Mytilus edulis: one gene and its partners. The protein of the gene in region 1 purifies or fractionates together with the protein of each later gene. This does not show direct contact. Links are inferred from orthologs where the notes say so. Each region holds a gene or a part of one and is shown on either strand. Other genes may lie near its edges. The genes, in order: pleckstrin homology domain-containing family M member 1-like, ras-related protein rab7 and vacuolar protein sorting-associated protein 41 homolog.

Region 1 (11,593 bases):
TTAAAAAAACACATTTCAAACAATATTTTATACATGAATACGCCAATTTTAGGCCACCAGAAAGTATGACCCAACACATCTTGCTTAACGTCTTTGTACCTTTTTTTTAATACATGTTCTCAGTTGTTTAAGGAGCCTAAGCAGTACCACAGTATTAAAGTTATGGTTTATTATGTGTTTGGTATGCTTGGTCTTTGAAAGTCACTGCTTATTTGGAGATTTCTTCTGATCAATGAGTGTAGGATAGGGGTACTGCTCATGCACTGATGCAGAGCTGTAACTACTGATGACGGTTTGGGGCCGCCCCTAAAAGATTTTTTTTTCTCTCAGCAAGGATTGTTATATCCTTGTTCTCAGTAAAAAGGCTAAAAATGACCCATTTTCCTTCGATTTCCTTACTTTAAGAAACATCAGTATTGCTTGAACCTGGAAGCATTTTTTATGCAAAAACAAGCTGAGATTGTTGTTCGGGGTTAACCAAGGCTTCGTCTTGGAGACCATACTTTAACCTATTATTGTCAACATTAAATACATTGTGACCGCGGATTTTTTTTCTCAATATGGCTAAAAATCACCCGTTTTCCTTCGATTTCCTTACTTCTTAAAAGAAACAGTATTGCTGGATCCTTGAAGAAATTTTTATGTAACCAATTATTATCTGTTTTTAAATACATTTTTGTTAGGAATCAAGCTGGTAACTTAAAAATACATGTAAAGTAAGTTCATAGAACGCAAGATATTTTTTTTATTGAGGACCTTGAATTTCAATATTGTTGAAAGCTCAGAACAGACATGTATATAACTACAACCAGGGACTTTCTACTAGTATATACTTAGTATAGAAAGTCACTGCTACAACAATTAGGAGTGTTTTTAAAACTACTAAGGCATTGACCATAATATTCTCTTACGTTCGGAAGACGTTAAAAAATGACCCAACAGCTAACAATCGGCAATGAATTTCCGATATCATAAAAGATTCACAATACATTATATATAAGGGAACTTTCTCTGCTTAATTGAGCCCCTAAATAAATGTGAATGGTTTTAAGTTTTATTCAATTTTGTCGAAAGCAAGGTTTTAATCATAGATGTGTTATCGTAGCCACACGAAAAAAAAAATTAAAAAATACTGAAACGGTCCAATTTCGATAAAAAAAAATCCGGAAAATGACAGATATCACGTATTATGATAAAAAAGTTATCAAAGGTACCAGGATTATAATTTAGTACGCCAGACGCGCGTTTCGTCTACATAAGACTCATCAGTGACGCTCATATCAAAATATTTATAAAGCCAAACAAGTAAAAAGTTGAAGAGCATTGAGGATCCAAAATTCCAAAAAAGTTGTGCCAAATACGGCTAAGGTAATCTATGCCTGGGATAAGAAAATCCTTAGTGTATCGAAAAATTCAAAGTTTTGTAAACAGGAAATTTAGAAAAATGACCACATTATTGATATTGATGTCAACACCGGAGTGTTGACTACTGGCCATGGGCTATTCTATTCTATTCTACCATATAGTGACCGCCTTCAACAAATTGAAGATTATGTCACAGGAGGAAACTTACAACAAGACATAGATTGGAAAAATGTACAATTTTTAAAAAATAGGAAAAATTAAAAATTTAAAATGTTTTGTATAATAAAGTAAGATGTTGTAATTAAGTTAATATTGATGCTTTGAAATTGAAGATTTGAAAGAGTCGACTGAAGTGCAATTTACAATGTTGTCCGGTAGTTTGTTCCAGTCGGTGATAGTTCTTGGAAAATATGACTCTTTTCTGTACTGTGTTTTGCAGGATGGAATTTGGAAGCTGTTCGAATTTGTATGTCTTGTTTGTCTTTTTTGTGGAATTAATTTATTTTGTTTAGGGATTGCAACCTTTTCGTGTTCAATTTTGTAGAGCATTACCAATCTGGAGTCTTTTCTTCTGTCAGAGAGACTGCGCCATTCAAGATGTTGTAACATGTTACCAACGCTTGAGGTGTTTCTGTATTTGTTAGTAACAAAACGCGCAGCCCTCCTTTGAACTTTTTCAATGCTATCTATGTCTTGTTGTAAGTATGGATCCCAAACAGAGCAAGCATACTCTAGTGATGGTCTTACTAGGGACTTATATGCTTGCTCTTTAATGGATGTTGAACTTATGTTCAGGTTCCTCTTTAGAAAGCCTAGTGTGCTATTAGCTTTCTTGCATATGTTGTTAATATGCACATCCCATTTAAGGTTTGAACTGATGGTGACCCCCAGATATTTTGCTGTTGTTACATGTTCTAAAGAATGATTGTGTAATGTGTAGTTAAATGTGATTGGTTTTTTATTTCTGGTGACTGAAATTACATTACACTTATCTGGGTGGAATGCCATTTTCCAGGTAGTTTCCCACGATGCCAGTTTGTCAAGATCTTTTTGTAGTGTTAATGCATCGGAGTTTGATTTTATTGCCAAATAAACTATTGTGTCGTCTGCAAATAAACGTACTGTAGATGTTAGACCAGATGGAATGTCATTAATATAGAACAAGAAAAGACTTGGTCCAAGAACTGACCCCTGTGGAACCCCTGACTCAACTGCAACATACTCAGATTTTTCCCCCTCTAGAACTACTGCCTGTTTGCGATTGCTAAGAAAATTTTGTATCCAGTAATTTAATTCCCCCTGTATCCCGTAATGATGAAGCTTATTAGTTAAAAAAGAATGTGAAACTTTATCGAATGCTTTAGAAAAATCCATGACCAAAATATCTGTTTGTTTACCATTTTCCATGTTTAGTGAGACATCGTCTATAAATTCTAATAGTTGTGTTTCGCAGGATCGATTTCTGCGAAATCCATGCTGTAGGGGATATAAAATGTTGTGATTATCTGCATGTTTCATGATGTGTTTTACTACGATGTGTTCTAAAAGTTTGCAACAAATACATGTGAGTGATATAGGACGGTAGTTTTCAGGGTTATATTTTTGGCCTTTTTTGTATACAGGAGAGACATGGGCAGTTTTCCAGTCATCTGGAACAACGCCTGTTTTGATTGACTTCTCAAAGATAATAGTGAGTATGGGTGCAATTTCATGTGAAAGTTCTTTTAAAAATCTTGGTTTAATTTCATCTGGTCCTGCTGCTTTGTTTGGATTTAAGTTATGTAAGAGTTTTTGTATACCTTCTGTTTTTATTATTAATTTTGATATGGGTGGAAAAGAAGTATTCTGTGGCATGTTACACTGTTTGACAAATTCTGTATGAGAAATATTAGATGCTGGTGTAAATACAGACTGGAATTGTGCGTTAAGTGCCCCAGCTTTTTGTAGTGGAACACTGGTGAGAACACTGTTAAAACTGTAAACTTGTGTTGTTTATAACATAAATTCAAGTTCTTCGTGTACATATTGTCAATATTTCATTTGATTACTTCAAGAAAAAAATTTGGAGTAGAAAATTCAGGGCAGCAATGCCTCCCCTGCCTCATAGGTACATTCATGTAGTTACGGCCCTGATTTTGTATTTTCAACTGAATGAAAAATTACAAATAAGTGTTACATACTGGCTTTTATACTAATATGATAATATAGACTGTAGTACCATAAATTTAATAATAATAGAAATTATGACAGGTGTTTCTTTGAGGGTTCGAATCCCGCTGGTACCATCCATGGATTTTCACATCATTGGCGCTGTGAGCAATAATTACTACTTGTACAAACAAGTGTTATATAGGTGCCTGGCAGTTAGATATGGGGTCATGGTGGTTGACCAGCGGTCATAGGATGACCATGACATATCTAGGTGGAACTGGCCAGAGGATTTCCGAGTAGATGTCTCGGGGTTGTACAGGTAGTGGACCTGTGAGTTGCTCGGATGGATGGTACGCAGCCTGAAAAAAGAAAAAGGGGAAGAGTGTTGTAGACCTGGGGATATAAAGGTAGTCTAACTCGCTGAGTTAGGGAAGATCTTCTTTGGCTCAATTGGTTAGAGCGCTGCCTTTGGATCCCGAGATTGAGGGTTCGAATCCCGCTGGTACCATCCATGGATTTTCACATCATTTCTTCGACTCTGAAATTATGCTACATTTTGTTTGAGATTTAACAGTGTTTTTAAGTGTTCCTCAAATTACCACGCTTCTTGAAAATTTTCCCTGAAAGACTCATTAGTTTCTAACATAACATGTAAAGACTGATAAACATAAAAGATCATATATAAGTGCTTTGTTATTCTGCGTTCCTCTCGTGATGGGTGTTCCTACAGCTGGTTTATTTATTTCCGGTTATTTCGTCCCTCTTGACTCTTCACTCCTTAAAGTCGACCAAGCTAGAAAAATTCGAATGTTGGATTCTCCTTAGCTTCCGGTTGGAAAATGGCTTCTGCTAGGACAGGTGCCGCGTTGGAACTTCGTAAAATTAGGAAGAAAATTCGACAGATTGAGAATCTTGAAAGTCTAGATAGAGATTTGACAGATGAAGAACTCAACAAAGTGGGCATTTTTTTGTTTTTCAACTGACATTGACCATATAAATATACAAACATAATTTTAGACCAGTAAATTTTAGAATTAAACTTATTATTTTACTTGGCATAACATTATTCAATTCAATTCAATTCAATATTTTATTGGAAAGAGCACAATAGAGGCGTGATCCAAATACAGTCAATTATAATTTTAAAACAACACATAAATGAAATAAAGATTCATGTAACAAGTCATGAGCCAATTCTATGTATATCCCCGAGGAACCAGTAATGACGCACCTAACGTTGTGTTTGTCTCTGCATTTAATCTACCATTTAAAAGAAAAAGAAACACGGAATAGAATGAAAGATTGATCACTTGTTAATGTATTTCAATCATTAAACAGTTGATTTTTGAAACAGTAAAAGCAATAAAAATCATGTTTGCTAACATTACAAACGGACTGTCAACTTATGATGGGTACCAGTAATGACGCACTATAAACAAACCAGTAAAAACCACTTGCAGTGTACCTGATGTTCGAAAAATTGCTTCAATCCGGATAATTTAAAGTTAACACTTTTCAACAAATTTAATTTTAATAACAAATTTTGACATTTACAGTCACTTTTATGATCATGTTGATAGCAACACAATTTTTTTCATTAATTTAATTGTAACCTATATTTTATTTCAAATTTTATATAAAATTGTTCAAAATTTATCAAAGTGACATATATATTCCATATACTTGAAAATAAGAAGTAATTGCATTCATAAAACAACATTGACATTAAAACATTTATCAATGTATACTTCGTACAATGAATGAAAAAAATCGATAAACAATAGAAAATTATATAAGCGACGATCATTTGTTCTACAGTGATTCCCGCTTAAATGTAAAACCATGTCACATGACAGTCATATGATTTGAAAAACACAAACTGGGGCAGCATGTGCATACATACTTTTGCCGGCCAAAGTGGATTTAGGACTGATAATCATTCTGGGAAGGGTAGACTGTTTTTGACCTTAATAAAATGGCAGAAATTGCATTATCTTTACTAATTCAAGCAATAATAACATTTCTGGACAGAGTTTGAGGCATCTATGTTGTAGTCATATGACCTTCACCATCATGTTATGAATAGTAATTATCGATGACGTCACATCTTTTGTTTAGAAATATAAAACCCAAAACTAAATTGGTGCGTCATTTCTGGTCCGCGTCAAAACAGGTACCAAGACGATACAAATACATTATAAACTGATATTGATACCATAAACTTATATTTCAGTATTATTCTAGATTTTCATATATTTACTTAAAACACACAATATAAGATAACATTAACATGTATGATAAGATGAGGTTAAATGCATTTAACTGCCAATGAGATAAATATCCTCTAGACACTAGATAACTTAAGCAAGTGTGTGTAACTGTTCTGAAAATAACAAGAAAAACCTGTACTGGATAGCATCTGTTGTATTCATGCACTTTCCGGTAAAATTCATATATCGCAATACCAAGGCCGTAGCTAGGCATCTTATTTTAGTGAGGCGAAAATTTATTTTTGAGGATATGAAATGAATGGTGCAAAATCCTGCATTCTAGGCATTTGTAGAGCGTTTGATAATGTTTTGAATTTGGACACTTTTTATATATTTTTTTTATATTTTAAGACTTTTACTAACACCAAATTTTTAACAACTTTATTTAAATTTATAAATAAGATAATCATCCAAATATCACTGATTTGAGTCTGCTGCCAGAACATAGAACAAACATCGATTCAGTAGAGTTTGCCAAATTTTTCTATGGCCGGTTCAGTCAACTCGTTTCAGAATCATAATTCAGTCTGCTGATATCCTTATCGCGATGAACATGGCAAGCCCACACAATCTCTCGCCACTCATGCATGCTCTTTTTCCAAGTTTTTAGTCGTTTCAGGGCAGTCTGTGTTTCTAAAGGAAGCACATTATCATCAACACAATGATCAATGTCTTCTTCCAATTTCTTCGCCATCAGCAATTTGGTAGCAGCTTCGGTAGTAACAGTTTTGTTTGCAAAAGGGAATTAAGCTTTCCTGTAAGCACCATCATACAGTTGCAGTTATAAAATATTAAACTCGCTTTTATGCTGACAAAGAGTAGACAAACTAGGGATAGAATGAGATAAGATAAATGTATATGATTCTATCTATAGAGTATATATGATATGGGTACAGGGGAATTGGAATGGAGTTTTTGACGTTTACATATAGGTCCATAATTTCAAATTATTTCTGAAAATAGTTCCAGGGTGGTATTTTAGTTCCAGAATCTATAAATTTAGGGGTTAGGAGTATGGGGTGTCCGATTCCGAAACCCCGAATATAAAGAAACAAAATTCCGTAGTCCCGAATAAGTAAAGACAAAATCCTGTGTTAAAGGTTCTACCATTTCTCAATAATATCAAATTGGAATATGGGCTATTCTTTCAATTTTTAAGGTTAAAGAAACATGGATAGAAACTAATCCATGCATGTTTCATATTATTTATATTTTATTTATCTGTAAAGAGAAAGATTAAAGTTTGTGAAATGAATATGCAGACAGGACTGCCCCCTTGCAATGACTTGATTTGTCAAAAGTTGGTGAAACGGAGAAATGAATACGCAGACAGGACTGCCCCCTTGCGATAATTTGATTTGTCAAAAGTTGGTTAAACGGAGAAATGAATACGCAGACAGAACTGCCCCCTTCCGATGACTTGATTTGTCAAAAGTTGGTGAAACGGAGAAATGAATACGCAGACAGAACTGCCCCCTTCCGATGACTTGATTTGTCAAAAGTTGGTTAAACGGAGAAATGAATACGCAGACAGAACTGCCCCCTTCCGATGACTTGATTTGTCAAAAGTTGGTTAAACGGAGAAATGAATACGCAGACAGAACTGCCCCCTTGCGATAATTTGATTTGTCAAAAGTTGGTTAAACGGAGAAATGAATACGCAGACAGAACTGCCCCCTTGCGATAATTTGATTTGTCAAAAGTTGGTTAAACGGAGAAATGAATACGCAGACAGGACTGCCCCCTTGCGATAATTTGATTAGTCAAAAGTTGGTTAAACGGAGAAATGAATACGCAGACAGAACTGCCCCCTTCCGATGACTTGATTTGTCAAAAGTTGGTTAAACGGAGAAATGAATACGCAGACAGAACTGCCCCCTTGCGATGACTTGATTTGTCAAAAGTTGGTTAAACGGAGAAATGAATACGCAGACAGAACTGCCCCCTTCCGATAATTTGATTTGTCAAAAGTTGGTTAAACGGAGAAATGAATACGCAGACAGAACTGCCCCCTTGCGATAATTTGATTTGTCAAAAGTTGGTTAAACGGAGAAATGAATACGCAGACAGAACTGCCCCCTTGCGATAATTTGATTTGTCAAAAGTTGGTTAAACGGAGAAATGAATACGCAGACAGGACTGCCCCCTTGCGATAATTTGATTTGTCAAAAGTTGGTTAAACGGAGAAATGAATACGCAGACAGAACTGCCCCCTTGCGATAATTTGATTTGTCAAAAGTTGGTTAAACGGAGAAATGAATACGCAGACAGAACTGCCCCCTTGCGATAATTTGATTTGTCAAAAGTTGGTTAAACGGAGAAATGAATACGCAGACAGAACTGCCCCCTTCCGATGACTTGATTTGTCAAAAGTTGGTTAAACGGAGAAATGAATACGCAGACAGAACTGCCCCCTTCCGAATACCAGTACTTGATTTGTCAGTCTACTTATCGTTTTTGGATTGTTCTAATGAAGTTATATACAATACTCAGACTCTGTTCCCAAAAAAACTAGTGTACTAGAATTATTCCTTCTTTACCTTCAGTGTCACTTTTCCTTTTCTGCAAGAGCCTGTTTTTAACTAGAGATCCATGATGATTATCATTACTGGGTTAATGTTATCGAGAAACATGACCCGTTGAGATGCTGAGTTATATCCAGGAAGAATAGTTTAAAAGGAATGATCGGACAAGTTATATAGAAACTGAGACTACACATGTGTTATAGTAGTCTCAGATAGAAATTAAGGTTGAGACAGAACAACAAATGGCTATTATATTGATATATATGTATAAAAAAAATAATCAGTGTCGAAATTTTAGTGAGGCAATTGCCTCACTTGCCTCAAGGGTAGCTACGGCCTTGAATACACCATATCGCTATTCCCTACTGACCTGGCTGCTTGAACAATTGACGTCATACAACAATCACTTTTCCATTGTGGCGTCAGATATTTTGTGTTATGATGTCAAAATGTTACAGGAACCTACAGTTGTGATATCCATTAATGACTAATGGCGGACAAAAAGCCATAATAGTCTGAATAGTCCAGATACATGCAACTATGACACCTTGGAAGTCTCATGTAATATTTTTCTGTGACCCCTTCCTCTGAGATGTCATAGTGCTGAAACCACTTTTAAAAAAGTATTCAAACCAACCAAATACTTCCACTATTGCAGGGTTTAAGCTAGGATTTTGAGGGCTTTAGTCACTGTTGCGCATTATTAAAATCAACCTTTTTTGTGTAGCAGAAAGGGACCAAGGATATATATTACTAGCTTCATCTTTGACCTTGTCAGATTTTAAACAGGTCGAGAACTCTAGGTTTCTTTACGTCAGAATATATTTGCATAGTAATTTCCCAAACACAAGGCCAATACGACCTTGAAAAACTGACCAATCGACTCAATGAGCTACAATGCATTGTGGGCTACTACAAGTTTACTACAACCGGAAAACATGTGGAATTAGTGGAAGAACTGTCAACTAATATAGTGTCTGGGATCTTCTAAATATATGGTTTTGTTCTGCGAATGTGATTATTGTAAAATATATAACATAATCTTCAATTTGCATGCTCAGATTAAAAAAGTATTGTTTATGGGCTTCACTATTCGACTTTCTTTTTCGCCTTGTTAAAGTTGTTGAACAGGTTTTTTCCCATTGTTATGCATTGTACCTGTGCAATAATTTTACGACCTGAAACAGTGAAATTTCAGATGAAATGACCACTTTCCACTACGAAATTTTTTGAGCTCTTTTAAACCTGTATTATGTCATTCCAAAATCATTTCTGCCTAGAAAAACACGAAAACTTTCATTGAAACACTTCTTTCTGTACTGGATGTGTATTTGTTTTATCAGGACCTGAACTGAAAGTAAGAACATCATAATATTCAGTATGCTTAAAATAAGTGTTATGAAAGCGGCAGGGCGGATCCAGTCATTTTAAAAAGGGGGGTCCTAACCAAGGACAAAAGGGGGGATGGGGGTTCAAACTACATGTCCCCATTCAAATGCATTGATCGTTCAAAAAAAAAGGAGGGGGGGCGAAAAGTACGCTATAAATGACCCAAAAATTACTTGTGTAAAACAATCTAAAATAAAAAACACAAAAAAAAAAAGAAAAAAAAAAAACCCGGCCCAATATCAATCATGTCAATGAATATAATATATAAAAGGAGAAAAAATCTATCTAATAAATAAAAACGTATATAGGTTTGTATATATAGGAGCCTGTATTTCAGTGGTTGTCGTTTGTTTATGTGTTACATATTTCGTTCATTTTTTTATATTATTAAGGCCGTTAGTTTTCTCGTTTGAATAGTTTTACATTGCCATATCAGGGCCTTTTATAGCTGACTATGCTGTATTGGCTTTGCTCATTGAAGGCAGAACGGTGACCTATAAATGTTAATTTCTGTGTCATTTTGGTCTCTTGTGGACAGTTGTCCCCTTGGCAATCATACCACATCTTCTTTTTTATATTAGATCCAGCGCTGCAATTTTCACAAAACATATCAAATTTTCAACCTCGTCGCACATACATATAATAACATCATTACAGCTTATTTCTTAATGCATGTAGAGAAAAACTTTGGTTAGTTTGTATATTGTACAATCATATTAGGATAACAACCAATTAAATTCAAATATGAAATATGCAAGTTAAACTATGCCTATATATATTGTTTAAAGATATCAATCTTATTTTCAAAGCTTGTATGAACAACTACATGTATACACACAAAGCAAGCAAGCAAGCCAACCAAAGTTTTACTTTGCAAACATTAGGAAATCAGCTGTAATGATTTTATTCAGTTTGGCAAATGTCCAAGCCCGTTAAAAAACGAAAACAAAATGAAACTACAGCTGCTGACTTCACTACCTTCAAATCAAAGGGAACAGTTTGGAAGTCTCATATACTGAAATGTGACAAAATAAATGCTTGTAGATTTTGTTAACACTGCCATGTATGTAAATATTTCTTCGCCTTTTTTACGAACACAAAATTCAAGGATCACACATTTGCCTTTCATTATCTATACGGAAATTGCTGTACTCGTGAGTATTAGCACCGCCTGTTATCGACGGCTTACTTTACACTAGTAAGTTTGTCTCATGGGTAATTGTGTTTTTCGCTGTTGTTTTGTTGCTGTCTGGTGGACGAATACATGAAATCTCTGTGCCATCATCAAACATATTAATGGCTATAAATATATATCGGGTAATTCAAACCCTTTTTTCTTCACATAGAAACAACTCTTTGTTAATCTGAGCATGGAAGGAATACTTTGTATCACGAACTATAAATGAGGATACACAAAATGAAAAACTAAGCGAAATTATGAATCCCGCATTGCACGAAAAAATGTGTTGTATTTCAGTAAATAACACACATGTTCTCGGTTGATTGTAAACACGTAGTAGTCCATCATGCATTGTTACTCATTTAGTGGATTGGTCAAAAACCTAGGTAAAAATAAACAATTACATGTGCGAGAACATAAGTATGCTAATTTATGCATTTCCATATAAGGTAGTGGTCCCGACCTGTTAAAGGACTTAGGCATGATTGGCGGTTATTGTATGATTTGACTGTATTGGCTCTTAAATTATTCTGAAAGATTCTGACATGGGATCAGGAAATTTAGTTCACAATTTCTCTTCAGTTTGTTCCAGAGGACATTCCTGATCAACAAAAGTTAGATTCCATTCTTTTTAAACAAGGAATCACAGCAGAAATTAACTTCAAATGATTATCTCACTGCATAATCATTATCCTTATAAAACGTCTGAATCA
Region 2 (11,731 bases), on another chromosome or scaffold:
ATAGGGGGTGGAGCTATATAATCTCCATGGACACAATACTTACAAATGCTAATAAATTTGAATACCAAATACCATTGATTTAAAATGTTTCATCTTAAACTAATCTAAACACAAAATATTACATATAAACTAAGCAAAATTTTCAAAGTCAATAGACCATGACTGAAGGGATGAAGTCAAATATTCTCCATGGAAATGAAATGTGCTAATGCTGATACAACTGAAGAACAATTAACATGTTAACTAAGCAAAATTTTCAAGTCAATAGACCATGACTAAGAGGGCAGAGCCAAATAATCTCCATGGAAATGAGATATGCCAGAGCTTATACAACTGCATACCAAATATCATTGATCTACCACTAGTGGTTCCCCATAAACTGACCTAATAACAAACTAATACATGTATGATAAGCAAAAGTTTCAAGGTCAATTGACCATGACTGAGAGGGCAGGGCCGAAAAAGTCTCCATGACAATGAGATGTGTACATTGTTGACACCAACGTCGCCGCCAGAAACAGCAAACCTATGTCTCGCCTTTTGACTCCGTCAAGTGATACAAAAATATCTTCATACCTGATCCAAAGAATTCTACAAGCTGATCTTGTGTCCAGTTACAAGAAGTAATGATAAAGACGCTATCATCAGACATTAACCTCTTCAGTGTTTGGAGGTAGGATTGTCGTGCTGGTATTTCATCTGAAGGCATCAAACTGATTGCATCATAAGTACCTTTATCTACACATACTTTATATGTATGACCAAGACAGGTGTATTTCTTGTTTGCATCATCACAAATCAAATCTGCCACCTGAAAAATAAAAATCAACATGTTATGTTTTATGAGAGTCTACTGTAATCTTGGATTGCAAAATAACAGCACTTAGTCAGCCAAGATTTAAATAAAATAGACAAAAAATCCATTAATTCCTGATTTTTTTTCGTTCTAATGAACAAAGTTAAGTGATCTTATTCGACTTAAACAGAATATTTTTGATTGATTCAAAAGATTTATCAATGAAGATGATAATAGAAGAGAATACAAACTTTTTAAAATAACAGACAAATTGCAGATTGTGTCAAGGGAGATAACCTGTTAAGAAAATGAATTAATAATGTGTTTAAAAAAAATAATAAAAGTATTAAATTAAAAAGTATAATGCAAAAGGCTGAGACAGATGATACAGCAAAGATTTAAACATGAGTTGAATTAAGAATAGCCAATAGATTGTGACAAAAGCTCGAATTGGGATTGCAATGCAAGATTATTGTGACAGGGGAGACAACTGACAAAACAATGGAAAGCAAATACATTAAATTAAAAAGTATAACTATAATGTGAAAGGCTGAAAATATATCTCAGCAATATATGTTAAACTTAACCAATCAATTGCTATAAGGGGATAAATCAATGGATTGTGTTAACATTGAAACAATAATGGAACATAACAATTAATTTTCTTAAAAGCAGATTGTACATATAACTATTAAAGATTCAGGAGTTAATTATAAATTGACTGCTTTTATGAACCAGATGCTCCGCAGAGCGCAGCTTTATACGACTGCATAGGTCGAACCCTGAATGGTTGGGGCAAGTATGGACACAACATTCAAGCTGGAAACAGCTCTGAATTTGGATTGGGATTAAATAGTTGACACAGCATAGGTTTCTGACACAGAATGAATGTAGTCTAATGAACTTAAAAAATTTTTTTTTTTGCTTTTGAGCAATTAACTATGCTGTTGAATATTAATCCTCTCAAAAAAAAACATTTAAAGAAATTTTCTTTTTAATTTCTGAAATCTGAAATGAGAAAAATTGACCCCCCCCCCCCAATTTTTTTTTCCACCTCCCCCTTTCCCTAATTTCAAAAATGATCTCAATTCAAGTACTTATGAAGTTTGCAACAATAACTACTCATTTAAATACATCATAAAGTATTAAAATATAAAATGTCTTACAGTCATGGTTAAAATTAATATTAATTAATAGTAACTTCTAAAAAAATATATGGGGAATGTGTCCAAAGGAACACAGACATGTCCCTGCTTGCATATAACGTTATAAAGGGACATAACTTAACAACTGTAAAAATGAAGCTGCCAAAAATTGAACTTAAACTGAGTTTAGAGGTTATAAGCATTACATACCCATTTCATTAAATTTAGTTAAGACAAACTTAAGTTAAGAGAACAGAAACAAAAAAAAAAAATCTTCAATTTTTTCACTTGTAAAGGGGCATTACCCTAGAATGGTAATCAAAGTGCTTGTAATCACTGATAGTAAAGATTGCTTTAATTTATCAGTTGGTAGTAAAGTGAATATTGCATTGTATTTTGTATATAGCATTGACTTAAGTTGATTCAATTACTATTAATATTGACAGAGAAAGATAACTCCAATTTTAAAAGAAGATTTCATAAAGTATTGGTTTTAGGTGATTCAACAACCATTCTGGACAAAGAAAGATAACTCCAATTTATTGTCTTGAAACTACAAAAATGCTTGTTTTTGGCCTCTTTTTTGTCCTTTTTTCCTAGACTGTTTGCCCCATAACCCTTAAAATATATCCCAACCTATTACTTATGGTATTAAACAATGGGTACAATTTCAGAACAATTGAAAAACTTATACACAACTTATTGTCCTGACACTAGATAAATGCTTGTTTTGGGCCCCTAATTTCTAAACCTTAGATAACCCCCAAAATCAACCCAAGCTTCCTTTTGTGGTTATAAACATTGTGTTAAAATTTGATTGATTTCTAATTACTAAAATTGTCCTGACACTAGATAAATGATGGTTTTGGGCCCCTTTTGGCCCCTAATTCCTAAACCTTAGGGACCATAACCTCCAAAATCAATACCAAGCTTCCTTTTGTGGTTATAAACATTGTGTTAAAATTTTATTGATTTCTATATACTTACCGGTATACTAATGAAATTATCCAGAAACCATACGTCTTAAGACGACGACACCGACTACGATGTGATACCAATATACAACCGCAATTTTTGGGGTCGTATGAAAACTACAAGAAAGCTGAAATTTCTATAACTTTTTTGCAGAGCAAACAATTATGTCTAAATAACAAAAAGCTTAAAACTAAATGCTGACATCACAACTGTTTGTATTGGTTAACTACTTTGACCAATCTTTTAAATTAATCAGGTTGATATCATATTTAAAAAAATAAAAAGTGAAACATCCTTACTTCGTATTTTATATTTTCAACATTACTGCCTACAGCTATAGACTTGGCTAATTCTATTCCACCTTCAGAATAGTCAACTCCTGTCAAATTACTGTAACCTCTCTGGCTCTAAAGTATAAAAAACATATATATATATCTGTTAATATTATTAATATAGTTTTTCATTTTATATCTACATGTACTATGATTTCCATGGAATATTTCAAAATTGTAATGATTAGTTTTTTTTTCTGTTCATGTAGATGATACTTATTTCATATCTTAATACTAATATCAGTGGCTGAGCAGGTTTTATGGATAGCTGAAAATCAACTGATCGTAATGTTTAAATATGTTTTTTTGGATCACTGTCTGATTGCTGTACATTTAACACTCTTTGTTCATACAGATAGGATGTTCCAAAATTACCCTATCACATTTTTAGGGATATCCCAAGAGACATGTTAAGCTAACCATTTTGCACTTGGCACAAATGACAGGCGCGGATCCAGAGGGGGGGTTCCAGGGGTTGGAACCCCCCCTTTTTTTTGGCCGATCAATGCATTTGAATGGGAGCATATAGCTGGAACCCCCCTTTACTCTGGGTTGTGAACCCCCCCTTTTTAGAATGGCTGGATCCGCCCCTGAATGATTACATGGTCAATCAGTATTAAAAATAAATAATCTTTTAAGATCCTAACAATAAAGCAAAAATTATAACTTTGAATATCCCAACTCTTCCAGTGCGTTATTGCTTTTGGGTTACAATGATATATTATAACAAGTATGAATATATAAGTTGGTATTTGTGCCCTCTTCATTTAGAAATGTTACTGTTACCATATATACTTTTCATAAATTTGTCATCTTAATAAATTCAGGAAATGCTTTATATGTAACTTTGAAAAAACATAAACCTTCAATATTTATAAGAATGAGTGGTGATGTCATGTTTGGCAGAGCCAATACTATTGTACTAATAAAACCAAAAAATGTATTTAAAAGTGATTAGAGATATGAATTACATTTAAAGAGATATGGTTGAGAGGTTCAGCTTGCTTTAAGACCAGGTTTAATTCACCAATTTCTACATAATGAAATGCCTTTACCAATCAGAAATATGGCAGTTATTTTCCATTTGATTAATGTGTTTGAGCTTTTGATTTTGCCAATTGATACTTAAGGGACTTTCTGATTTGAATTTTCCCTTTTTTTAAAACTTTTTTCTGACTTTAAAGAAAGTTATAAGTACACTACATATATTTACTCATGTTAGTCATCAGTAAAGAAGAATGTAAAACAACGTTCATGGACACAACAATAAGCAAACTACCAATTCTACAAGGAGCATTCCATTGCCACAGCCTAAATCTATTATGGAATCATCTGATTTTATTTCCTCATTATCTTCTATCCAGTCCAGTATTCTTTCCTGACTATCCTCTCCAAACCTAAAATTATTGAACAGGTATTAGAACTTTTTCTTTCTATAAGCAGTTTTTCATTTTTGGCATCTTTATTCTTACTTCTTCTCCTCCGATCAAAAGCATTTTATGTGAAAACTTAAAATATTGTGGTATGCATCATTTATTCAAGCAGCAGAAACAAAAACAAAAGTAACATGAAGACTTTTTCTTGAAAAAGATACGATAAAAAGAGTTTCTCCTCATTTTGCTCATAACTAGTTTTACCAACAAAATGTGTGCAAAATAGTCATTTCACAATATGTCAATTTTGAAGATGTTTATAATGTCATAGTGAAATCACATCTTCAATTTCTATTCTAAACTAGGTCAGTATCATTTTATTTTTCATTTATCGATTGAACCATGTAATATTAAGGAATTGGATTAATATTACAGTTTTGGAAATTTCAGGGCCAGCTTATCATATCTCATTCACTTGTATCTCTCAATAAACGAAGAACAAAAACTTATGCGCTAACTTATATGGAAACAAACAGACAGCTATCAAAATAACAATGAATAAAAATTTTGTTATTAACCATTTTAGCCAAGAAAAAACAATCAATATCATATTGATAGTTTTTTCTTAGCTATTATATGAAGTTTCCATATAAGCCTCAATAAAAGTTATAAAATAAAGTTGACATAAATAAACAAAAATTGTTGTTTTTTTAACCAACAAGAAACAAATGTTTTTTTTCACCTAAGGCTATTAGTTAACTCTTTTCCATTGTTTTACATATCATTATTGCTATTGAAGCCAATTATAGCTTTCTATGAGGTTTGTTTTGCTCATTGTTGAAGGCTGTACAGAGGCCTATATTTGTTGACTACTACATTATTTGGTCTTTGGTTGAGAGTTGTCTCATTGGCAATTTAACCACATCTTCTTATTATTTATTAATACTAAATGTTTGTGTTCACTTACATTGATCTTTGCAAGTTCAAGTATCTATCATGTCTATATCCAACATTTGATTTATTACTATTCATAATTTGATCATATATAGAAATATGAAGATGTGGTATGAGTGCTGATGAGACATCTCTGCAGTCACAATTTGTAAAAGTTAATCATTATAAGGTCAAAGTCTTAGTACATTCTTCAACACGGAGCCTTGGCTCATGCCGAACAGCAAGCTATAAAGGGCCCCAAAACAACTAGTGTAAAACCATTCAAACGTGAAAAACAACGGTCTTAACTATATATAAAAAACGAGAAACGAGATACACTTACATGTAAGAACCACATCAACAAACTACTGAACATGTATGCATATTAAAGAATATAGAAGATATGTTTATAAATATGCCACAACATAATCCCTTTCCAAGAAAAAGCAGAAACGTTTTACTTTTCTTAACCTAGTTTTTCATTTAATAATTTACCAGATCTCTCCAACATCACCTATATCTTTAAAAGCTTCTAGTTCTTTTTCATATGTGGAATCCCAGCTGAAAAAGAAATATGAGGATGTCAGTTTAGACATATGTATAAGAATTAATAATGTACTGGTAAAAAGAAATAAGCGATCATTAATCGAATAATTTTCGAAGGACATTAAATATAGCTACATTTTGTATTTAGGAAGGTCCTCAGGATATTCATACTATACTGGAGTGGCAGTTTTTTTTTTTTACAGAAAAGAGATAGCACAAAAACAAGTACAAAATGGTGATTAAGAAACCAGATCTCAACGAAATGACAGAAAAAAAAATCTGAAAAAAAAAAATTTGTCCTAAATCCCAATTTAATGTTTAGGACAAATCGATTTTAGATTTGGTCATGACTGGCAAATTAACCGTTTCAGAACCTTTATCTCTAATTTAGTAAATAATTGACGTCAGTGAAGTTGGACAGATGTCTTGTACAGTACTTTGTTCACATCTATCATCGTTTACCATACTACATGTAATTTCTTGCGGATAAAGTTTCACTATCATGCAGCCTTGTTGTTTCAGTATACTTAAATTTCGTTTTTGCTGTACTCACAAATCCATTGTTTCCTCAAATAAATTCAGTTATAAAAACAATTTCTAATTAATTCTTGTGGACTCATAGTTAAGGAGAACAACACCACCAACTTTAATTTGTTCTTTGATATATCCATATGCTTTTTGATATTCTCTCAATGCTGTTAAATAGTCATCTATTGTTTCACCTTGTCAAGAAGTGTCTTTCTAAATAAATAAACTGTACATGCAACTTTTCTTCCTTTATTCATATATTCTTGACATCCTGGTCACGGCACCAAAATTTTGACATGTTGAGAATATGTGAAGGAAGAAAACCTTACCTGTTATAATTTTTTAGTAATCTATAGAATGCCCAAGTATACAAGTGTAAGGTCAGAAAGTCTTTACATTACAATACAACAACTTAGGGACCTTCTAGTGTTGTGTACGTGCCATATTTACAACAAAAGGAGTTAGCAATGTTACCCGAGTAGAACTTCAATGGTACGAGATGATATAGTACTAGTTTACAACGATAGGAGTTAATAATCTTCAATGAAAATAACTGGTTCAGTCTCCCTTTGATCAGTTGATTTCCATCATTCATTCATTGTCTGACAACTTTATATATAAAAAAAATATATAGTCTTTACAGTCATCACTATTTTGTGCCTTATAATCAATAAAATTACATACTGTCAGAAAACTTTATAAATCATAATGTTTACAGTAAACGCATTTGCTTTTGTGCACACGTGCTTACTGTTCAATAGTGCCTAATGATGATGATTCAAAATCACGTTGCCCTGGACCTGACATGTCAACAACTTTGGGTCGATATTGTAAGAGACCTTCCGAAAAATTATTCCGGAAGTAAATAAATTTTGACGTAATATGGGTCACGCGACTGCGCCATTTTGTAGGAGTTTTGATTATTAACAGATCTTACAGCTGAAGTAACCTATTTATTCACAAACAAAAACAAGGTAATTTAATTTAGAAGTAAGATCTGAACTCATATTTCAGTTTGATCGCTATTGTCAGTCATAAAATTGCACAAGAACACCAGAAACGACTGTTCAATGACACCTAGTTTTTATTTTATTAAAATGTTGATCAACAGGACAAATATTGAAATAAACTAATCAACAAACTGTATAACGTCTGATTATACATAAAACTGCTAAGATGTCTATCATTCTTGCAAAAGAAGGAGACTTTACTTTCGTAAATAACACAAATAAAAAATCACAAAAAAATACCTAGAAACATGACCTCAATAAATTTGATGTTGATCAGCTGATTCATTTAGAGCCCAGATAATTTATTGTCAAGTCTGTTTTCTTCTTTTTTCAATGAAAGAGTGACATGAGAAAAAAAATTGTGCCACACGGGGAAAAATGCTCAGTCTCGAAATTGTATGATATGTCTTCAATAGTATGATATGTGTAGCTGAGTAACTTGAATACATTTTTACAGTTTTACTTCAGTCTGAAATCATGGCGCTGCTCTACAATCATGACAATGGCTACTTTAACGTTTGAATCATTCAGAATCATCCATAGACCTCTTTCCAATGTTTGCGCCTTTCTGTAATTTTCATATGTCTCATCATTCTCATTGCTGATGTTATTACTTCACAGTACATTGTACAGTAAGCACCAACAGTTCGTTGTCCTTTACTTTAGGCCGATTCACTCATTCATCTAAAACAAATTGAAATTGGTATAAAATTTGAAAACAATAATTTTTTTAATAAGTTCAAAACACTAATGTAGATCAAATTGATCCGACTGCTGATATGCCAACTGTCATGTACATGTTGTATAGTCCAAATATTATGACGTCTGGCAAGGCTATTTTAATTTTTTTTCTTGGACGCCTTCCTACCACGTCATAACGCTGAAGCCATTTTTTACGTCTGGAGTTTGAGACCTAATTTTGCAGCGGCGGATGCAGGAATTTTCGAAACGGGGGGTGCTAACCCAGGGAACCCAGGGCAAAGGGGGGGTGCAAAACATATGTCCCGATACAAATGCATTGATCGGCAAAATTAAAGGGGGGGTGCGCACCCCCGGAACCCCCCCCCCCTGGATCTGCCACTGTTTTGATGTGAAATTTTCATCGCTGGTTAGAAATTTTTACTTTATTACAAATTTTTGTGCATATTGATGTAAAATATTTCCAGAAATATCCAAAAGAAATGATAAAATAAGATGTGATTCCATTTCAAGTGGGCAAATATTTATTTTGTTTCAAAGAGATTTCCCACAATTACCAAAGAAACGTGACTTCCGGTGAAAATAAAATTTAAAAATCGGTTAAATTTGAACGGACCCGAATTTCCGAAAATTGGCCAAATATTGTAAATCACAGGATTGCAATTATTATCTAACTTTTGAACTTATCAGTTTTGTTGTTTTTTATCCCTTCAGAAGGCTAAAACAATAACAAGAACGATTTTATTTGTGTTACTTTGTTTATATGATGAAATCAGCTAATGCGCAGTATCACTGGCCGCACGGACACCAGGGACATCACTGTATTAGACAATGAGTATTAGTTTTATTACCAGTCATAATCATGTAAAACCAACTTACTATGGAATTAACATTATTTGTGGGATACCAATTATCATGGATTTCATTGGTAAAGATGGAACACGATATTGAAAGTTTTTGAAGTTCATTTTTTCTTCATGCTTGTAGCCAAGTATTGGCAAAAACAGGATTTCAAATACATGTACAAAATGTATCTGTGAAAATACCGATTTTCCTAAATCCATGAAATTAGATGAATCCACAAGTACAGCGTTTATGTACATGTAATATGAATAGACATACACAGATTCCCGTAAATTTTGGACGGCATAAAACAAAATATCTGACGTCACAATGGAAAAGTGATTGTTGTTAACTATAAAATTGATATCAAGTATTATTTATATAACATTTTTTTGCAAGGTAGGCAAATTCAGGTTGTCATGAGCCTCTAGTTTCTAATGTGAGTAGGCTATAAAGACATTGATTTAGATGTACATCGTCATGTACCACACATTTTGTACATCATTACATTGTTGTATTTCTTAAACTAATGATCTGAAAGTAAACATGTCATGTACATGTCAGGACTAGGTCAGGAATGTGGTCAGTGGTTGCTGCTGTCTCTTTATGTTATTGTGTCAAACTGTCAACGGTATTGAGAATATGCTATGATAACCAGCTTTTCTGTTAAAATGCTTGAATTATGCCTGAAAGTTGCAATTTCCTTCATTTTTCTTGGAATCTATGTATACATATATGCAAATAAATAAAATAGAGATAGATGAAAAAAAAAGATTTCAATATTAATTTGTAGTAATGCAAGTTAAAAAAATAAATAATATCTTTTATAGTAATTTGAAAACAAAACATGTCAAAATTTTATTAATGGATTATTATTTTTTCAGATGGCATCAAGAAAAAAAGTTTTGCTTAAAGTTATTATATTAGGGGACAGTGGGTAAGTTGAGAAGTCACTTTAAGAAATATGTAAATGAACAGTAATAGTAATACTGTATTTATTTATGCCATCACAACTTTGATGAGGAGTTTTCTTGACAGCAAAACAGTGGTCAATCCTGTATTCCAGTCTATTCCTTGATGGTGTCAACATTTTTGTTCAGTATGAGGTTCATGTTTCTTTTAGGGGTCATGATCATGATCTGTAACTTTGTCAAAATTTGATGGAATTTTACAAAACTGTCAATAGTTTGACAGAAGTTAAGGTTCCAATTGTTAAGGATTAAAAAAAACTGTATCAAGAGCAAATGTTATGAAACTTCATGTTCAAGAAGTAGCATCTGAACCTTGTCTTGGCAAATCCCCGAAATGATTTTTTTCATATAAAAAAAACTTTAGTAATAGTATATTGTAAGATCCTAATGTAGAACTGTACACATGTTCCCTATGACATTATCTTTCTAATTTCTATGCCACATTAGATATTTTACCCAAACTTCACGGTCTACTGAACATCAAAAATGATGGTGGGGGTAGAACATCCGTGTACTATGGACACATTCTTGTTTTCTGTTATCAATTCAAACACTCAAACGCATGAACCCCTACCAAAAGTTGAGGGTGTTCTTATGAGTCCAGAAGGGTTAGCAGTCAGATTCTGCTCCACATGTGTTGCCTACCCAGTTGCTCATGTACATATACATGTCTGTACAAATTCCGTTACTACTCGTATTCTGTGATGTCACATTGGAGGAAAAGAGGATGTGGTTGTGGTTACAACAATTGATACATTTCCGTTGTCATTTATTAATGATGTTTGTTTTGAATCAAAGTACACATAAATGATACATGTACAACATATATTGGATTATTTTTAGCTCACCTGGCCCGAAGGGCCAAGTGAGCTTTTCTCATCACTTGGCGTCCGTCGTCTGTCGTCGTTAACTTTTACAAAAATCTTCTCCTCTGAAACTACTGGGCCAAATCAAACCAAACTTGGCCACAATCATCATTGGGGTATCTAGTTTAAAAAATGTGTGGCGTGACCCGGTCAACCAACCAAGATGGCCGCCATGGCTAAAAATAGAACATAGGGGTAAAATGCAGTTTTTGGCTTATAACTCAAAAACCAAAGCATTTAGAGCAAATCTGACAGGGGTAAAAATGTTTATCAGGTCAAGATCTATCTGCCCTGAAATTTTCAGATGAATCGGTCAATCGGTTGTTGGGTTGCTGCCCCTGAATTGGTAATTTTGAGGAAATTTTGCTGTTTTTGGTTATTATCTTGAATATTATTATAGATAGAGATAAACTGTAAACAGCAATAATGTTCAGCAAAGTAAGATCTACAAATAAGTCAACATGACCAAAATGGTCAGTTGACCCATTTAGGAGTTATTGCCCTTTATAGTCAATTTTTAACCATTTTTCGTTAATTAAAGTAATCTTTTACAAAAATCTTCTTCTCTGAAACTACTGTGCCAAATTAATCCAAACTTGGCCACAATCATCTTTGGGGTATCTAGTTTAAAAAATGTGTGGCGTGACCTGGTCAACCAACCAAGATGGCTGCCACCGCTAAAAATAGAACATAGGGGTAAAATGCAGTTTTTGG
Region 3 (10,897 bases), on another chromosome or scaffold:
AACTTCACATATATTTTACCTCAATAGCCTGAAACATCAAAATCATAGAATGTTGAAATATCTTGATACTGATTTAGTTTATATTATAAAGGAATTAAAATTACCTGACTTTGTACATTAAATTAACCTCATATACTATAAATGTACAATTTTTGTGTCCTCAAAGTCATCAAATTGTTATTCAAAGAACTTTATATTTTACAATGAATAGTTATGCTCTTCAACTTTCTACTTTATTTTTTTTAAGCTTCACTGATAAGCCTGTTGTAGATGAAATGTGTGTCTGACATACAAAATTTAAACCCTGTTATCTATAATGAGTGAATTATTCACAATGTTTGAAACTACAAACTCAAAATCTATGAACCACTGATTAAACCAGATGCTCCGCAGGGCACAGCTTTATACGACCGCAGAGTTCGAACCCTGAAAAGTTATTGTGCGAAAACCAAGAAAAATGCTTATTTGGGCCCCTTTTTGGCCCCTAATTCCTAAACTGTTGGGACTTCCAAAATCAATCCCAACCTTCCTTTTATGGTCATAAACCTTGTGTTTAAATTTCATTGATTTCTATTTACTTATACTAAAGTTATTGTGCGAAAACCAAGAAAAATGCTTATTTGGGCCCCTTTTTGGCCCGTAATTCCTAAACTGTTGGGACCTCAACTCCCAAAATCAATCCCAACCTTCCTTTTGTGTTCATAAACCTTGTGTATAAATTTCATTGATTTCTATTTACTTATACTAAAGTTATTGTACGAAAACCAAGAAAATGCTTATTTGAGCCCTTTTTGGTCCCTAATTCCCAAACTGTTGAGACCAAAACTTCTAAAATCAATTCCAACCTTCCTTTTGTGGTCATAAACCTTGTGTTTAAATTTCATAGATTTCTATTCACTTATACTAAAGTTATAGTGCGAACACCAAAAGTCTTCGGACGACGACGACGCCAACTTGATACCAATATACGACCAAAATTTTTTCAATTTTTGTGGTCGTATAAAAAAACACATAAAGTAAAATCCAGAAAATGACTTTGAAAAGAACATGTACATTTATCATGTGCAGAATGGTTATCTCTCAATTATAAAGTGTTGGGACAATTGTATTCATGAATGTGAATTTAATAAGACTATGCTACAATATATGTCATTTTGGTTTTATGTCATAAAAACTGAAATAAAAAATACTACATTATTACAAAGAAAGTAAGTCAGATTTTATTATGTACATACTGCTGTAATTTCTGTATCCCTGATATGACATCCAATGTGGTCTAAAATATATATCATACCCCAGTGTGTTCCTGCAGCTAAAAACTGGATAAAAAATATAACTTAGCTGTATTTAGATGAAAATGATAAACATTAGGATGGAAACCAAAAATATCTTTCATAGCCACACATCATTATGCAAAATGTTTAATATGACAGTAAGGTATATCGTTTTCAGGAAATTATATGAACTTTTAATTGCTTTTTCAAATCTTGTTTTATATTTAACATTATTTTGAAAATGTAATGGTGTCATTGTGTTGTCATTTCTAACTATCAAAACTATAAAAAAAACTGACAAATGTATATATAGAAATACAATGTAGCAACTTTGGAGGACAAAAAATTGAAGGCAGTCAGTTGACCTTAGGATGTTGTGTGATTTCTTAATGTTGTCCTGTTGATATCACTTAAGAGTATACTTCTTTGATTCATACGAATATACATCAAGATAAACTTCTTAACTTTTTGGCAGGAGATTCTTTTTGAATTTTTGATCAGAATCTTTTATTCCTTGAGATCAAAATTCTGTACCAAACCTGCCAGACCATGACTGAATGTTTGACATACCTTAGAGTGCACAGCTAAACAGCTTATACAGTCTTTCTTTAATATATCTACTAAATCATTACTAATTCTTTCATACTTCAACTTAGGTTCTTCTTCCTGAAAAAATATTAACATTCATCTGTAAACCGGATAAATTCAAAGCTACAGAGATAAACCTAAATTTGTTGTGGAAACTGCAGATAATAAAAATTATTTAACATGTCAGCATAGTTCATCTTTTCCCTATAACAAGAAATGATTATCTTTAACTATTAAATTTAGTAACATTTTTTGTTTCTTTCAATATAATTCATATGGAATGTGAGTTTTAATCAAGAAATGGTTTGTTCTCTGTAATGTCTTGGCTACATTAAATCAAAGCTGGTGTCTTATAGGTCTGCTTCAAAGTGAAAAGGTTGTTAATTTTTCAATTAGAATCAAAATAACTCTGTCATGCAACACTCTTTGCTTATTTCAACATCATCATGGGTAAATATTCATAACAACTGTCAACATTAAACACCTCATTGACTTCACTAACACTCAGTATAAACAAAAATGCCAAATATAATCACAACCCATGTTAAAATGAGCTTAATGCATGACATGATAGATGAATGAATATTTCTTAAATAAAATAATCAGAACTTTGTCAAACATCTTACTTCCTCTGACTCGTCTGATTCTGATTCATCTTCTTCAGTACTGTCCTCAGTTTTCTGAAAATAAACAGAATCATATAATCAAAGAGCAGATTGCTCTGAGGGATACAATTGCCGTTGTTTCATTGACACGTGTATACATGTAGCTGGATAATAATATTTCCAAAACTGCACATTTAAAATAGTTACAAAATAGCCAATCACGGATAAAAGTGTATGAACAATGTAATCAGGCCTATGTTTTATTTTTGTACAATCAATTCCAAGTTTACTTTCCACAGCAGTCACTGAGACTCAGACTGAGAGAAGGTATTTCACTTCGTATCTTATCACCTATTTTCCTACGTTAATTCTAGGAGGAACCCCATTCCTAACTCTTTAAATATTTAATTCGCTTTAAATTGCGATCGTTTTTTAATATAATACGACGTTTATTGACAGAAGAGCTAATACTCGACGTGTTGTTTTGATTCAGAATTTACGGAAGTTACTTCCGGAAGGGAGACAACTCGAAACCATAATATGGAAGACTCCATTTCGCCTGAAGGGGTGTTCTACAATGAGGACTACATTTATTTTAATTTAAATGATGCATATGATTTAAAATTATGCAATAACAATAACCTTCAATAGCAGACATACATAGAAAAGATTCCACGAGTTATAAATTAATTAATTGAGTGGAGAATCCAGAGCAACCATTCAATCTAAAACCCCTAGAAGTCAAGAAAAAAAAAACACATGCGCATAATTTCCAAAACAAACCCTGGAGCAAGAACGTATATTAAGTGTTTATTTATAAACAACCTAGATGGTTCTCTATTTCTTCATGGAAGTACAATCTCAAAATTCAGTTTCATAACGGTAACATACAAGACAAACTCCACTTCAGTTCTTAAATGACAGAAATAGATTTATCGGAATTCAGAGAACTCTCGCATTTTATCAAAACTGGGAATTCCCTCTGACGTGTTTCTAAATTTATAAAAATACTAAATATAAATACTGCTTAATTCTGATTTTCCGTGTTGTTTAAAACACGCATATAAGTCAAGGGAATTATCAAACATGAAGATTATGAAAAGAACATTATAGTAAAGTTCAATCCCTTTGTTTGTTTTTACCTTTTAAAGCAAGACAATCATAAGAATCTGAGATGTTCCTTAATGTTTAGAATAAAACGATTGACGTGAGGGCAATGCTCTGAGCCACCGTAAGTCTACAGATTGCTTGAAAGCAATTGTATCCCAAAAATATGAGAATTTTATGGCCATTAAAAGTGTATTATGCAGAGAAACCCCAATGAGCTGTCAAGTTTTTATAAGGCAAAATAAAAATATATGTGTGGCTCCAGTTACCCTAAATGTACCTACCCTAAATTTTAGTCTTAAAAATAGAATACCTAAAGATTTGTCTGTCATTTTTCATTAAGAACTGTTAAACATGTCAAAGTCAGAATGTTGCTTCCATAAAAAAATAACATAAAATAAAATAAAAAAACCTATCTACATTGTACCAACCCTGACTTTTTGTACGATGTAACTGGAACTACGCATACTATTTTATTTGGCCTAACAGTGGTAAGAATCCATATAGAGCTTCCAAAACGGTTATATATTACTTACAAGTCCGATAAATTATATAGATGACTTGTTGTGCCAAGGCTAAACAGTCATTTTAAAATAGTTTAGAGGAAAAATAGACATTTTATTATAGTTCAGAAAAAAAAGTTTATACGATCTTTTTGACCTGACCGTTTGCCTCAAATAGCTACACATTTCCGGTCATATAAGTGACATGATTAATAATTACTATCAAAACAATCCGAATTCTAATACCCTATCCTTAGGGACGACATCAAAAGTTCAATGTAGGATAAAAAACTTTTAAATTCACATAGTTTTTTCACTGAGCCCCCCACCCCCCTCTTAACTTAATTTGGGAAACATTGATTTACCAATAGGGATATATGTAAAAATCGATTTAAGATAAACAAAACTTGCAGAATTTTAACCCCCCACCCCCAAACTATTTGATTTAAGTTTTTTATCCTACATTGATCTTTTGATGTCATCCCTTACAATCAAGATTAATTATTTTCTCTGACAGCTTATTTACCTGTTCAGGCGACAGGTAAACTATTTTGTACAGGACATTGATCTATTATTAAAAGTTCATAAATTTCAGGGTTTTTTTTCTAATTAATTAATCCAAACAAGATTCATATTACCAGAAAACTTATGTAAATATGATTTGATGAAAATTTGAAAAAGTAGTAATAAAGTGTTTTTTAGAAAAATTGTCAGGACCCTGTTGTTTGACCTAGTACACTCATGCGTATGTGCGCAGGTGTGAGATTAAATTTTGCATTCGAAATTTTCAATAATGCTAAAAAATATCATTGATAAAACTGAAAATGGAAATAGGGAATGTGTTAAAGAGACAAAAACCCGACCATAGAGCAGACAACGTTCTTGTCGAGTCTTTTCTTGTACAAAAAAATGTGAAAAGATCTAATTAATCTCAATCGTGCTATTAAAACGAATACCAATTTTACATATCCATGATATCCGTCTCTAGTCCATGTTTTACCAATGTCAAGTCAACATCCAATAATAGGAAAAGTACTTTTTTTTTTAAACCAAAGTAAAGATATTATTGACAGCGTAATTTTGTAGAAAATAAAGAGTCTTACACAGATATAAATACTCTGATGTTGCACAATGCTAATGGTACACTGCCAATTTAAAAGTTAGTGTCAGAACATCAAATTTATATCAGAAATCAAATCAAATACTGTTTTTGTGTTAATCATAATTCATGATGCCCAACTGATTACTATGGTTGCTTTTTGTTACTAAGTTTTAAATTATGGGATTAAATCTGAATAAGACAAAAATGTTCGGCTGGCTCAAATATTTTTGGAAGCCCTGTATACATATGTTGTAGAATGGATACAGGGAATCAATTAAATTAGCACTATATGTGGCTATACAGTGATGCTTATAAGCCTTCAGGTGACTTTGCTGTCACTATGCTGTCTTATATATCATAAAAACAAGTCTAAACAAGTGACAAACCATACAATATTATATATATGCCCACTGGATCTCAGAGTGATTTAGATACATAGTTAATACAAATATTTATATAAGTCTGAAAATTACACCCAACAGTGTTAGAGTTAGATTTTCTACTGACAAATTTTTTGTCTGTCCCTTAGCAGGATTCAAACTCACACCTTTGATACACTACAGCACCAATTGCTGAAGCCTCATGTCCGGCGCTCTCGACCACATCCACTATATAAAAATATAACTTCAATAGTGGTAGTGTTACCTTGTCACAGAAGGCGAATCTAGAGATAGACATAAGACACGTGTTGATTAAGCGTGTAATATTATTATGTAGCTACAGTAGTTCTGTTTGAAAGATGAGTTCTTATAATATATTGGGTACATGTATGTTGCATAGTCCCAGTGTTGTCCCCCATCAAACAACCTTGATCTTATCCTTGAAAGGGTACAGCGAAAAACATCATGTTTTGTCTACAACCAGTACAGCAACACTTTCCCAGGACGTTGTCAGATCAGAGCAAAAAAGGAAGTTCACATCAACTCCTTTTTCCAGCATTTTATAAAGACTAGTACTGGAACCTACATTGTACTGCCAGTCATAGTAGCAGCTGCACCAAGACTTGAAGAGTTCATGCAGGGTCAGATTAGCCAATGTACCCTGCCCAAAGTAGCAGCCTCACTAGGCAATAACTGGCCACTTTGTATACAGTCACAGCATAAATAGCTTTAATTTAACTATTTAGATTTGAAATACTATTTACTTTTATTCAAGGACAATGATGAAACTTGCTGTTTTACCGTGCAGGTTGTTAAATCACTCAAGTATGAGTTCAACTTCTTACTGGAAAATGTAACAGGGATAAATTGAAACACATAATGTGCTTAAGTTATAATAACTGAGTTTGTCAAGGAAAATATAAAAATTCTTTTTGCAAAACCCAAATTCTAATAAAGGGTGAAAACTGGAATTGAAAACCTCCGCTACATGTCCTATGTAGACAGGCCATACCACTCTGTTGCATTTAAAAAGCTCTGAGTATCTATCATTAATTAATGGTTAAGGTACTCATGTTGGTAGATTGTATTTTCATTTTGAGACAAACCTCAAACTCATCAACAGACGCCATTTTGTACAGACTTCAAACGCAGTCACATGACTTCAGGATGCGGTTGTTTCATTTGATCAAATCAAATTTAAATCACATTGAATTTGTCAGAACTGACTCAAAGTAAATTATTTTCTTACTTTTGAAACTGTTTTTTGATCATTTATTTTAAATACAAATATTTATCTGAAGCACTATATTTTTCATCCGTATTAAACAAGGCACCTGTGGGCTATTCGGTCAAATCAATTAAACAAGCAACTTCAAGTCATATTTTTAAGAAGCAGTGAACCTATGAGCAAATTTTATAAATATTGATATAGGATCATGTATAATGGTTAGAATTTATGGTAATCATTTTTTCTTTATTTATATAATTTTCTTGTATTCCTCATTGGTAGCCCCAATCTATATTTGGAAACAGTAACATTTTTGTAAGCAATATCAGTCCGCTGAGTCATAGAACTATTTTTTGTCGTGGGTCAGGTAGGTTGGGACAGCTAATCTAATATTTATTTATGTTGATCAAAAATTAACATAATTTATTATAAAGTCCACGTGCTTTCATGTCAATACACAGTTCATAAGCTGCAATTTGTGACATTAAAGTAAATCATGTAAAATATTATTCGATTTCATAGTTTAATGCAATTATTTGCGTGCATTCCACTCCAGGCTACAGAGAAAATTTTAGGTAAGAGATGCTGATTATATTTGGTTTGCATATATTATTTTGTATATATTATGGCATTTTATTATCATAATTTATCAAGTAAATGCGCAAAAATTATGAAAGTGGATGAAAATTGAACGTGGAAATGGCAGTTATCTCCGTCTTTGTCTGGCATCAAATGAAATTATTGATTTTTTTGGATGCCATTCTATTCTGATTCAGATGCTGAGAGGATGTGAAAACTAGTAAGAATGGATGCTGACAATTGTGTGTCTGTTGTCATGGATATAATAAAAGTAAACAAAATAATAAGAGCTAATTCTTAGCAGAGAACATAAAGATTTATTTAAAAAATATATATTTTAATAATTTTATGTTTAATATTATGAATCTTGGTTTAAATGATGCAGCTTTTTTTGTAGGTTGTTCCAGATTGTCATTTTTAGTAACTTTATAAAAACTACTATTAACTCTAAAGAAAAAATATCATATGACTAAAATAAAATGAAAACCTGAAGTAAAGATTTAATTTTAATTATTTTATATTTTTGGGGTGGAAAAGGGGGGGATGTATTAGTTTTTATTGAAATAGAATTATCTGTTCAATATATTGTGTTTATACTGAGTATTGCCTTGAACAATTTGAAGGAGAAAAAATATATGTACATGTAACTAAAAACTAAAGAGGACTCTGAGAGTTGGAACATAATATGTAGCTAAAAAAAACCTACATATTAGTCTAACCACACTCTGGGAACTGTGAGTGTTGTATTTAGTTTAGTTTTATCTTTAAATATGTAGCTAACAATTTGTTGGTACATATGTAGCTAAAAACTCATATCAAAGGGGAGAATTTGTATACATGTAGCTATAAACTAAGGAGGGGAGTAGTATATGTGTCACTAAAAACTAAAGGGGTTGGTAAGTACAACCACACTCAGGTATCTTGTGAGTGTTGTTGGTATTTTTGTTATAAATATCTTTTTTATTCATAATTAGAGAATTTTCATATAAGGCAGATATTTGCAAGTCTTTTTCATAAACTTGGAGCAATTAACAGTTCAGTCTGTGCCACAATCTACTAGTTGGAAAACTAAATATCATAACTTGTCATTATATGACTATATATAATTTTGAAAATGTTCACTAGTCTGAAGCAATATTTACTACATGTAGTCTGGGGCATCAAACTAGTGGCTAACTGTACAGACTGCAGTTTATCCTACAGTGATTAAAATTGTCTCCCCTTATTAACTCAATGACTTTATTTTTATTCTTCCATCAAGTGCTAAATTGTTTAGAAATTAAAGTTCCAATATAATTTTGGTGTTCATTTATTGTTATACATGCATAGGTATTGTATTTATTACTTTTTATATGACCACAAAAAAATTTGCGGTCATATATTGGTATCATGTTGTCAGCGTCATCGTCAGCCTCATCTGAAGACAGATTGTTTCCGGATAAAAACTTAAGTATAAGTAAATATGTATCAATAAAATTTTAACACAATGTTTATAACCACAAAAGAAAGATTGGGATTGATTTTAGGGGTTATGGTCCCATCGGTTTAGGTATAAGGGGTCCAGAGGGGCCCAATACATACATTTATCTAGTTTCAGGACAATAAGTAGTGTATAAGTATTTCAATAACTCTGAAATTGTACCACAATGTTTATACCATTAAGTAGAAGGTTGGGATATATTTTAAGGGTTATGGGGCAAACAGTCTAGGAATTAAGGGCCAAAAACAAGCATTTTTGAAGTTTCAGGACAACAACTTATGTTTAACTGTATGGATCTCTCTGACATTGTACCACAAGGTTCCATATAGTGAAGGGAAGGTTTGGTGTCAGTTTAGGTATCCCTGAACATTTAGGAATAAAGGGCCAAAAAGAAGCATTTTTCTAGTTTACAGACAATAACTTGTGTTAAAGTGTATGGATCTCTCTGAAATTATACTAGAAGGTTTCTTACTACAAAGGAAAGGCTGGAATTGAGTTTTGGGGTTATGACTCTAAGGGGGGTTTCAATAAGTGAGGGGACAAAAAAGGGGCCCAAATTTTAAAGCATTTTTGTAATTTTCAGTCAATAACTTGTGTTTAAGAGTATAAATCTCTCTGAAGTTTCCATACCCTAAAGGTGGTCATTAAGCAAATAGTGGAAAAAGGGGGGAAACAAGGGTTTTTCTGTTTAAAGGACAATTTAGACAATTTAAAAGCAGTGTAAGGGAGGTAATCCAATTCAAATTAAAATTTAAAGAATACTGTTACATTTGTATATATATATGTTTGATTACCTCCCTTACACTGCTTGAAAATTATGTTAAAGGAAGTGATAATTGTCTTGAGACATGAAGCTGTAAATTTATTTTTTAGAGGTTACTGTTAATTGATATTAACTTTAATCATGACTGTAAGTTATTTTATATTTTAAAAATTTATGATGTTTTTAAATGAGTAGTTATTGTTGCCAACTTAATTAGAAATTTGAATTGAGATTATTTTTGGAATAAGGGATTGGGGGGAGGTGAAAAAAAATGGGGAGGTTTAGGGGTAAAATTTTTCTCATTTCAGATTTCAGAAATTAAAAAGAATTTTTCTCAAATATTTTTTTTGGAGGGGATTTATATTCAACAGCATAGAGTATTGCTCAAAAGGAAAAAAAAATTCAGTTCGTTAGACCACATTTATTCTTGTGTCAGAAACCTTTGCTGTGTCAACTATTTAATCATAATCCAAATCTCAGAGCTGTATCAAGCTTGAATGTAGTGTCCATACTTGTCCCAACTGTTCAGGGTTCGACCTCTGCGGTCTTATAAAGCTTGGCCCTGCAGAGCATCTGGTTAAACTTAAATTAATTTCGTATGACATTGTGAGTGTTGCTGCTCGACAATTTTCACTGAGCATGGTAAAAATCCTTTTTATTTGTCATTTTGATGCACTGTTCCCTTTTTCCCTGTGATCTTTTTAGGTTTTCTAGGTATTAAAAAGCAAAATTGAACTACTTAGGCCAAATTGAGCTACAAATATCTCTATAATATGTTACTTTTCAAGAAAAATCCAATTTTCTGCATTAATATTTTGAAGTAGAGCCTAAAATGTTAATACAGGGATAATAAATAAATGTTTTGATTTTGTCTGAAAAAAATAACTTTATATCAATCTTGAATTATTTTTCCACAGTAAGAGGAAAAGAATTATTGCATAATTATAAGATTCAACCATTCTTTTTCTTAATATATATAGGAAGATGTGGTATGAGTGCCAATGAGACAACTCTCCATCCAAATAACAATTTATAAAAGTAAACCATTATTGGTCAATGTACGGCTTTCAACACAGAGCCTTGGCTCACACCGAACAACAAGCTATAAAGAGCCCCAAAAACTAGTGTATAACCATTCAAACGGGAAAACCAACAGTCGAATGTCTTTAAAAGTTTCAAAATGCAATTCCAGATAGCCAATGAGAAACAGGGATTTCATTGAAAAATCACTGTAAGGACGACTTTATATAGCCCATTTATGGAGCTTTAAATTACAAAATAGAAAATG

What was found.
Region 2: the proteins of pleckstrin homology domain-containing family M member 1-like (region 1) and ras-related protein rab7 purify together in Homo sapiens (affinity purification with western blotting; 5 studies listed by BioGRID and IntAct, with this or other methods). This does not show direct contact. The link is inferred for Mytilus edulis from reciprocal best matches to the Homo sapiens genes PLEKHM1 and RAB7A.
Region 3: the proteins of pleckstrin homology domain-containing family M member 1-like (region 1) and vacuolar protein sorting-associated protein 41 homolog purify together in Homo sapiens (affinity purification with western blotting; 4 studies listed by BioGRID and IntAct, with this or other methods). This does not show direct contact. The link is inferred for Mytilus edulis from reciprocal best matches to the Homo sapiens genes PLEKHM1 and VPS41.

What each region holds. Positions count from the first base shown.
Region 1 is NC_092356.1:60,483,691-60,495,283, forward strand, and holds the start of pleckstrin homology domain-containing family M member 1-like, read right to left. Parts: upstream 4,311-11,593; 5' UTR 4,150-4,310; coding exon 4,116-4,149; intron 1-4,115. Other genes in the region: POC1 centriolar protein homolog B-like, read left to right, coding at 4,356-4,472. UniProt on the Homo sapiens protein: Acts as a multivalent adapter protein that regulates Rab7-dependent and HOPS complex-dependent fusion events in the endolysosomal system and couples autophagic and the endocytic trafficking pathways.
Region 2 is NC_092344.1:39,827,270-39,839,000, reverse strand, and holds the start of ras-related protein rab7, read left to right. Parts: upstream 1-7,338; 5' UTR 7,339-7,379; coding exon of another isoform or gene 7,380-7,435; 5' UTR 7,436-7,602; intron 7,603-10,064; coding exon 10,065-10,117; intron 10,118-11,731. Other genes in the region: EEF1A lysine methyltransferase 2-like, read right to left, coding at 577-811, 3,216-3,323, 4,528-4,645, 6,050-6,115, 7,380-7,435.
Region 3 is NC_092345.1:99,527,582-99,538,478, forward strand, and holds the start of vacuolar protein sorting-associated protein 41 homolog, read right to left. Parts: upstream 6,743-10,897; 5' UTR 6,690-6,742; coding exon 6,666-6,689; intron 2,543-6,665; coding exon 2,489-2,542; intron 1,941-2,488; coding exon 1,845-1,940; intron 1,320-1,844; coding exon 1,236-1,319; intron 1-1,235. UniProt on the Homo sapiens protein: Plays a role in vesicle-mediated protein trafficking to lysosomal compartments including the endocytic membrane transport and autophagic pathways. Acts as a component of the HOPS endosomal tethering complex.